2 linked regions of the Caenorhabditis elegans genome follow. The protein of the gene in region 2 purifies or fractionates together with the protein of the main gene of each other region. This does not show direct contact. Each region holds a gene or a part of one and is shown on either strand. Other genes may lie near its edges.

The links. The genes of interacting proteins can lie anywhere in the genome.
Region 1: the proteins of ift-81 (region 2) and dyf-11 fractionate together in Caenorhabditis elegans (co-fractionation; one large-scale study listed by BioGRID). This does not show direct contact.

Annotation. Positions count from the first base shown.
Region 1 is NC_003284.9:762,101-765,859, forward strand, and holds the start of dyf-11 (TRAF3-interacting protein 1), read left to right. Parts: upstream 1-1,651; 5' UTR 1,652-1,668; coding exon 1,669-1,809; intron 1,810-2,038; coding exon 2,039-2,197; intron 2,198-2,578; coding exon 2,579-2,725; intron 2,726-2,781; coding exon 2,782-3,245; intron 3,246-3,481; coding exon 3,482-3,611; intron 3,612-3,661; coding exon 3,662-3,759.
Region 2 is NC_003284.9:5,296,763-5,300,521, reverse strand, and holds the start of ift-81 (Intraflagellar transport protein 81 homolog), read right to left. Parts: upstream 1,962-3,759; 5' UTR 1,891-1,961; intron 1,858-1,890; 5' UTR 1,827-1,857; intron 1,796-1,826; 5' UTR 1,773-1,795; coding exon 1,642-1,772; intron 1,049-1,641; coding exon 929-1,048; intron 872-928; coding exon 748-871; intron 476-747; coding exon 395-475; intron 308-394; coding exon 153-307; intron 1-152. Other genes in the region: ags-3 (Tetratricopeptide repeat protein 28), read left to right, coding at 2,496-2,568, 2,624-2,774, 2,822-2,957, 3,565-3,710, 3,759-3,759.

The DNA of each region.
Region 1 (3,759 bases), 4.5 Mb from region 2:
GCTGAAGCTGGGAAATATAATATAAGAAAAACGGGAAACCCCCGTTCACATTGACAATTATGGCTGAATGTACATACCCGAATTTGAGTTAGTTTCGCGCGCGAATGATGTTTTGCGGAAATTCAATCTTATTGTTTTTTGTACATATATATGCTTATTGTGATTGATTTCTTTATATTTTGTTGATAGTTTTCTATATACAGAAAGTTTTCAAATATTTTTCAAAAATGAACCTCTTTCTAAAAAATAATGGACCTTCTGGAAATTTTTCTAAAAATTCATGGCGATTCAAATTTCATTTTTTAATTGAATTTTCATTACTGAAAACGGACTTTTCTCGGTTTTTTTCTTCAATTTTTGAAACGTGCTGAAATGTACTATTCAATAAAATCCAATAATCCTGAAAAGTAGACCACAACGTAGCACACACGAGTAATTAGCGTGTTCCCTTTTTTTGTTGGTCTCTGAAATCGTGGCAATACGTGGATTCAAAAATTCATAAAATATGACGTCACAAATTTTTACATAGTGCAATTTTCATTTAAAAAATCATCGTGGCGTCAAAGCATTAAAGCCATGTGGCGCCCTAATTTCCAGAGGTCAACCTAAGATGGGACAATCTAAATACCCATAACCACAAGAAAGTAGAAAAAAAAATGGATTGTATTATTATGTTTGTCCATATAAAAAGATAAATAAAAATTAGAATTATTGACCAAATTAGTTTGTTTTTTTTTAAATAAGTAGTCTAGTATACTTGTAACTATATATTTTTCTAACGCCTACTACAAATGACGTCATATTCAATTTCAGCTGCCTTAAACAAATGACATTTTTTACGTTTCGTTCATATAGCCTATTTCACGTTTTTGCCTACTATTCTAGATTTTGGAACTTATGTTTTTTTTTAAACGAAAGTTATAAGTACCTCAATATTAAACAGGAAATTATAAATTTAAACATATCTCTACAATAAATGTTAGCATTCGGCTTATAAACAATTTGTTTATGTTTTTATCAAATAAAAACAGTGTATATTTAAATAAAGGATTATTTCTATTTGATTTCCACAATCGCGGGAAACCTCTGAACATTAAATCATAATTTTTGATCTACATGAGAAGCTTCTACTTTGTTTTTATAGAGCTAAGAACGAGTCAATGAAAAAATTATATTGTTAGATGAAGATTGTTTTCCTAAAAGTTTCGATGTGATTTTCATAATATATGTAAATCTGCTAAAAACAAAATTTTCCACGATTTCTTGTACTGGTCGCAATTTGACCACCATTTATAACATTCCAGTCTACTTTCTTCTTTGTTTTCACCCATTTTTCTGACGTATTATATAATCAGAAAAAAATACAATATATTGTGCGAAAATTAAAGAATTGTAATCAGTCACAAAATACCTCAACTAAGACACATTATTCTGCTGCTCTCATCGTCTCACGCACTCTTTGCGCGTAAGGTGGTCTCCATGACAACGTGCCCCCTGCCTCAACAACTCGCCACACAGCGCCACCTGATATTAGCGTGCTCTCTCTCTCTTGCGTGTATTACCGCTGTTTCATTCCTCTTTTTTGTCAGCATTTTTCACCTTAATATTGTTTTTCATGTATTTCATGTTTTTCGCAACTTGTAATGAGATTTTTGCAGTAAAAGTGCGATGAGCGTTGAGGAAACTCGGGAAATTCTTGAGAAAGTAATTCAAAAACCACAACTAACTGATCAACTGCTTTCACGACCACCATTCAAATTTATTGTTGATATAGTTAGCAATGTGATAAAGTCTACGGGGTATTTGAAGGTGGGTATTTGAAAATTTTATTCATAATAAAAAATTATGCGCGAAAATGTAGATTTTAAGAAATGTAATGTGGTATGAGAAAAAAAGAGAAAAAACCAGTGCCCAACTTTAGTTTTAAAGTTTTCGTTTGTCAGTGATGCGAAGTTTTTGGTCAGTGCTGTGCCAAGTTACTCAGTGCTGTGCCAACTTGGTCAGCGCATAAATTTTCGCTAAATTTTCATTTTAACAGACTGACTTCACCGACGATGAAATAAAGTCCGCTGGCAACGACAAAAACACCAAAACTGCCTTTCTTGACAAGCTGATCAAGATTCTAGATGACGGAAGTCTCAAAAACGTCAAAGCCGCCAAAATAATATCGGGGAAGGACGCGGAAGAAACCAACAAAGTGAGTTTACATTCTATTAACAAGAAATATCTGTAATGAAAAAAGAAGGCGCAGAATTTTAAACAGAATTTACAATTCGATGTGAAGTCGCTTCAATCAAATTTTAAAAAATCTGGTCAATCAGAAATTTTTTTTTAACTTAAAAAAAAAATTCGATTTCTTCCGTAAATTATATCAAACTAAATTAGTGCCCTAATCATTTTTTCTATTTAAATTTTCTGATTTTTTGTGATAAAAATATGCTTAATAGTAAGATAAAGTATTTAAGCCGTTTTCAACTTGGTCAGTGCATTACCAGATTGGTCAGTGCTACACCAAGTTAGCCATTGCTTTCGCTCGTCTCAGTTCTTAGTGCTTTTTTTACCTTTTACATTTATTCAGATGCTGCAAATGTTGGGAACAAATGCTACGAGTTTCAATTCAAGGAATGGTACCGGAGAGGAGAAAAAGAAGAAAAAAGTAAAGAAAGAGGACAAAAAGGGAGATGAAGAAGAGAAGTCAACTACTAAAAAACGTAGCAGTAAGAAGGTAGAGTGCACTTTTAAATATTTGTTTCCCCATAAACTCAGTTTTATCATTTTAAGGAAACGCATGAAGAGAAGGAAAAATCGGAGAAGAAAAAATCTGCAGAAGAGAAAGAGAAGAAGAAAAAGTCTTCGAGTTCAAAAGAACGGCATAAGTCTAGTGACAGGTCTAGCGAAAAGTCAAGCGAAAAGTCCAGCAAGGAGAAAAAGAAGGAAAAGAGCACAACAGACGAAAAACCCAAAAAGAGCAAAAAAGACCCGAGTGAACGGCATTTTAAACGACAAGACTCAATGATTGCTGTGAATGGAGATGCACCGGATACTCCGAACAATGAGAATGGAGATGAGGGTTATGACGATCATGAGATTTCTGAACCAACTGTTATATCAAATATGGAAACTGATTTGTCAGCTCAATCACTACTGATCCAACAGCCAGTGACGTCACCCTTGAAAACTGATGATAGTGGGATGGGTGAGAGCCCGAGAATGATCAAGCCCGAAGATAGACCCCCGTTGATAAGGTAACCTCTTACGGATTGGGTTTATCTTCAGTTCATTTTAAAAAATGTAGTGCACACTTAAATAATTTTCTGAAATTGAATTATCCGGCAAATTTTTGGCTTCAACATTGTTGGTTTACTCCTTCTTTGACCAACATTTTTTCAAATTCTAGAATAAGTTGTCAAAGTGAAATTTACACTGAGATTGAGATGATGATACACACAGTTTAATCAGCTTTTGACATAGAAAATTCCAGACCAATGACTGGTGCTGGAGGTGGTAGACCTATGACATCAATGGGAAGACCCGGAACCGCGGCTTCAAGGCCAGCGCCTCCAAAACTGAAAAAGAAACAAATTGCGACTGTTGACTCAACGCCACAAGTGGTAATAACATTGTTAATCAGTTTATTAATTCAATTTTGATACCACTTTAGGTAGTCGAACTCAAATCGGAAATCATCAGCGATGCTCCAAAAGTGGAAACCGAAGACGATAGCAATTTTATAATGGAAAATGACGAGGAAGATGGTGA
Region 2 (3,759 bases):
TCACTTGTCAGTGAAAACTTTTATTAGTTTTCTATTGTTAAACGAATTTTCCTTTTTTTCGCATAAAACAAGTAATTAATTAAATTTTGACTACATTTTCCTGTTATTTTTGAACAATTTTTTTTTGAAGTTTTCACATTATTTGAACTTACTTATCAAAATATGGTATATTCTGCACTTTCTTCTCGGTCTTCTCAATCTTTCGGAGCAAAATTTGTTTTTCTTTTTCCATTGACTTTAAATCCTCTTTTATGTCATCAAGCAAGAGTACGTCTGCCATTATTCCTTTCATTTCAGCATGGATTTCCTGTAGAAAAGTTGTTTTGTTTTTTTTTGTTTTTGCTTTTTTTTTGCTCATCCACTATCGTGACGACTAATCTCTCATGTGATTAACCTTAAACTCCATTGTCAACTCTCCAATCTCATTTTGCAGCTCTTCAATATCATAATCGAAGAATTCTCCAGGTACATCTGTCTGAAAATAATTAATTTACGTATTTCCAATTACAAAAAAGTGCGAAGCTGTTTAGCCATTTCTTGATTCATTAATTCAATGTGTACCTAGATCAGAGACTAACTAAACCAAAAACTTCGGCTGTCTTGCCTACTATATCAGCTATTCAAGCAGAACGATGCTTGTTCTCTATGTATCATTTTTCTTTTAAAAAAAATAATGACAACATCTATTTCTCTCCCCCCAGAAACCACTAGCATAACATGTCGGCTTTTGGCATAGCAATTCATTACCTTCATCAAATATTTTGACAAATATGCGCGCTCTTTCAAACCTTCTGAGTTTTCAAAAAGAAAAACCAGAAGAGGATAGAGGCTAGTCTTGCGACCTTCGACAATCCCTGCACGCCATTCTTCCCTGTAATATAATGTCAAATTAGATGCTGTTTAGTGATTGCCCTCGTTTTGCACGAACTGTTCATCCTGGTCTTGCGGTGGTCTGTAGCGGAGAATTCGGAGCATATTCAGAATACGAATTGCAGTCTCTTCAGCAGCCTCTCTTTTGATATCAATTCGGTCCGTGTCGGAAACCCAGCTGAACATTTTAAAAATTTTCGTTGTTCTTATATTATTAAATTCAATTTTATCAGTGAGAGCATTTATGTGTTTGTAAAAAATTTATTCAAATTTTTCTTAATTTTTTTATGACTTTTGAAATTTTGCAAACAAATAAGAAAGAACCGAATTTTTTGAACATTCTACCCAAGTGGACCTGCTGATACCCCTTTTCTTTATTGTTGTGTCAAATTTTTTTTAAATTTACACAGCAATCTATAAAATAATTACTTTCAATAGAAAGTTTAAGAAGATTGCTCAAAAACTGACATTAGTATCAGTTTGCCAACCAGCAAATTTAACACGCACATTGTAACTTTGTGCCTTTTTTTGAGCAACATCCAAAAGTACAATTAAAGGTAAAGCTATTTTTAGAAATTAAAAAAATTTATTTATATTTCTTTGAAAAATTCTTGAAAAAATAACGATACAATAATAATAAAGTAGCTGTTTTTTAATTGTCACAAAAAATGTAGCACACGTTTCTGGAAAATTTTTGTGAATATTTTAAACACCATAACTGTTTTTTCTCGATATCGCATTTTTTAAATTTCTTTTTTTGACTTAACCAACCTCAAAACATTACTCAAAATTTGGAGCAACTGCTGCGGTGGTAATTGGTCGAATTGAAGTGATGATAAGTTGAGATTGAACGGCTCTTCATTCAAAAAGTGGAGAATAAACCCTTGAATATCGTTCGACATCTTAAGGATACACCGTTAGTGATGACAATAAACGCGAGCTCGTCGAGCAGCGCTCCCGGTTACCAGGGCAACACGACGTAAATATATGTTGTTGCTGGGCTCTTTGCTATGTGAGTGTGAAATGTTTCAAGTAGTATTGAAAAGGGAACAGAAGTTGAACAAGTTGAATCAGTTTGTTGGTAATTAACTGTGGTTAGAGATTTGTTTTGAGTGAGTGGTAATTAAATGTGAACTTTTGATACTCTAAGGTAATAATTTATATTTTTCATATGAGAGTTTTTTTTTGAGTAATGTATCTTTTAAGACTATCAGTTTATATTCCTTTGTCATTTTAAATTAACAAATATTTTGCTCGAAACAATACTTCCTAGCCGTCTTTACACAAATGACGTCAACGCGCGGTTACTAGCTCATCTGTCGTGAGGAGTGAACGAGAGAGCTGCCGCAGACATAGCAAGGACGTTTCTTTCCATGTACTGAGAGCGGCCGTGCAACGAACAAACAGAGGAGTTTGTTGGTCCGTACTCGTTCGAATAAATCATTCAAATACCTTTTTTTCTACATTGACCACCCTTTCTGTTCTGAAAGACCACATTTCGATTCTTCTTTCTCAATCTTAATCGCTTGTGTTTCTCTCCTTTTTTCTAGTATTGTGCAGATTTCTGAAATCTTTGTCATCGAAGAATATCAATCGATTTTTTTTTTGCAGCGGGGAAAGGTGCGATGCAGGACCGTTCCTGCTACAAGCTCACACAGGAAGGGGAACGTCTTTTTCGCATGCAAAAGTATGAGAAAGGTAACTTCTTTTTTATTATTATTTGTAAATAATTGATTGAATTTGAATATTTCAGGCATCGACTTGTTGAAAAAAGCGTTGGAAGTAGGCACAGATGATTTTTCATTACTCTCGGCTATCTATTGTCAGCTCGGAAATGCACACACAATGCTTAAAGATTATGAGCAAGCTCTCAAGTTCCATACGTATGACATTCTTGTTGAAAGGTAACGAATGCGAAAGAAATTTAAACAAAAAATAAACAAAATTTCAGATTGCTTGGAAACAAGGAGGGAGAAGCAAAGTCGTGTGCCAACTTGGGAAATATATTCAAGATGAAAGGCGCTTACAACGACGCGCTCACCTTCACATTCAAACAGCTGGATTTTGCCGAAGAGTTGGGCGATAGAGTGAGTAGAACTTGATTTTGTACTTGAAAAAAAAATGCACCCGTTGCTATACCAACAGGAGATTTATTATTTTCGTGCTAGCAAACATGTACAAAGTTCCATCTTAAATTTTCTTCGAAGTTTCCAACATAAACCATAGTTACAAGGAAAGTATTTCAGCCTACAATGAGACTTCTGAATGAAATCTATGTCATTTGAAAGGGGACCTGCAAACTAGGTTACCACAAAAAATTTAGCGGCAGAAGAGCACGTTGAACTACCATAAAAACCATCTGAAAAGGATCAATATTTAATAGAGCTGTGAAATTGCATCCAATGTTGATTTTTGCGAACTTCTAGTGGTTTTCGGAAAGTTTACAGGTATGCAAACATTCTGGAAGCTTGAAACATTTCTCGATCGAGTTGGGTGAAAAAGTTTCAGATGTTTTCAAATAAAAATGTATATTCCAAAAGATTCCAGAATGCTTGCCTAGAAACTTGTTAGAAGCAGCTGTGAATATTGCTATGAAATATTTCAGCTTTTCAAAATAAGGCACAACGCAATTATTCAAGAATGAAACTCCTAATTGCATTCAGATAATTTACACTTTCCATTTAAAAAATTCAGGTTCTCAAATCTCGAGCTTATTACAACATTGCGACGATTTATGTGGAGCGAGGGCGATGCACAAAACTGGAAGCTGCTGAAGAGAAAAATGACGCCAAAAATGCAGAAGCCACTTCGGATTTTGAGAATGCTGCCAAGTACTTTATGTGAGTTCATTACTTCAATCTTCCTAATAAAGATTTTAAAATTTGCAGG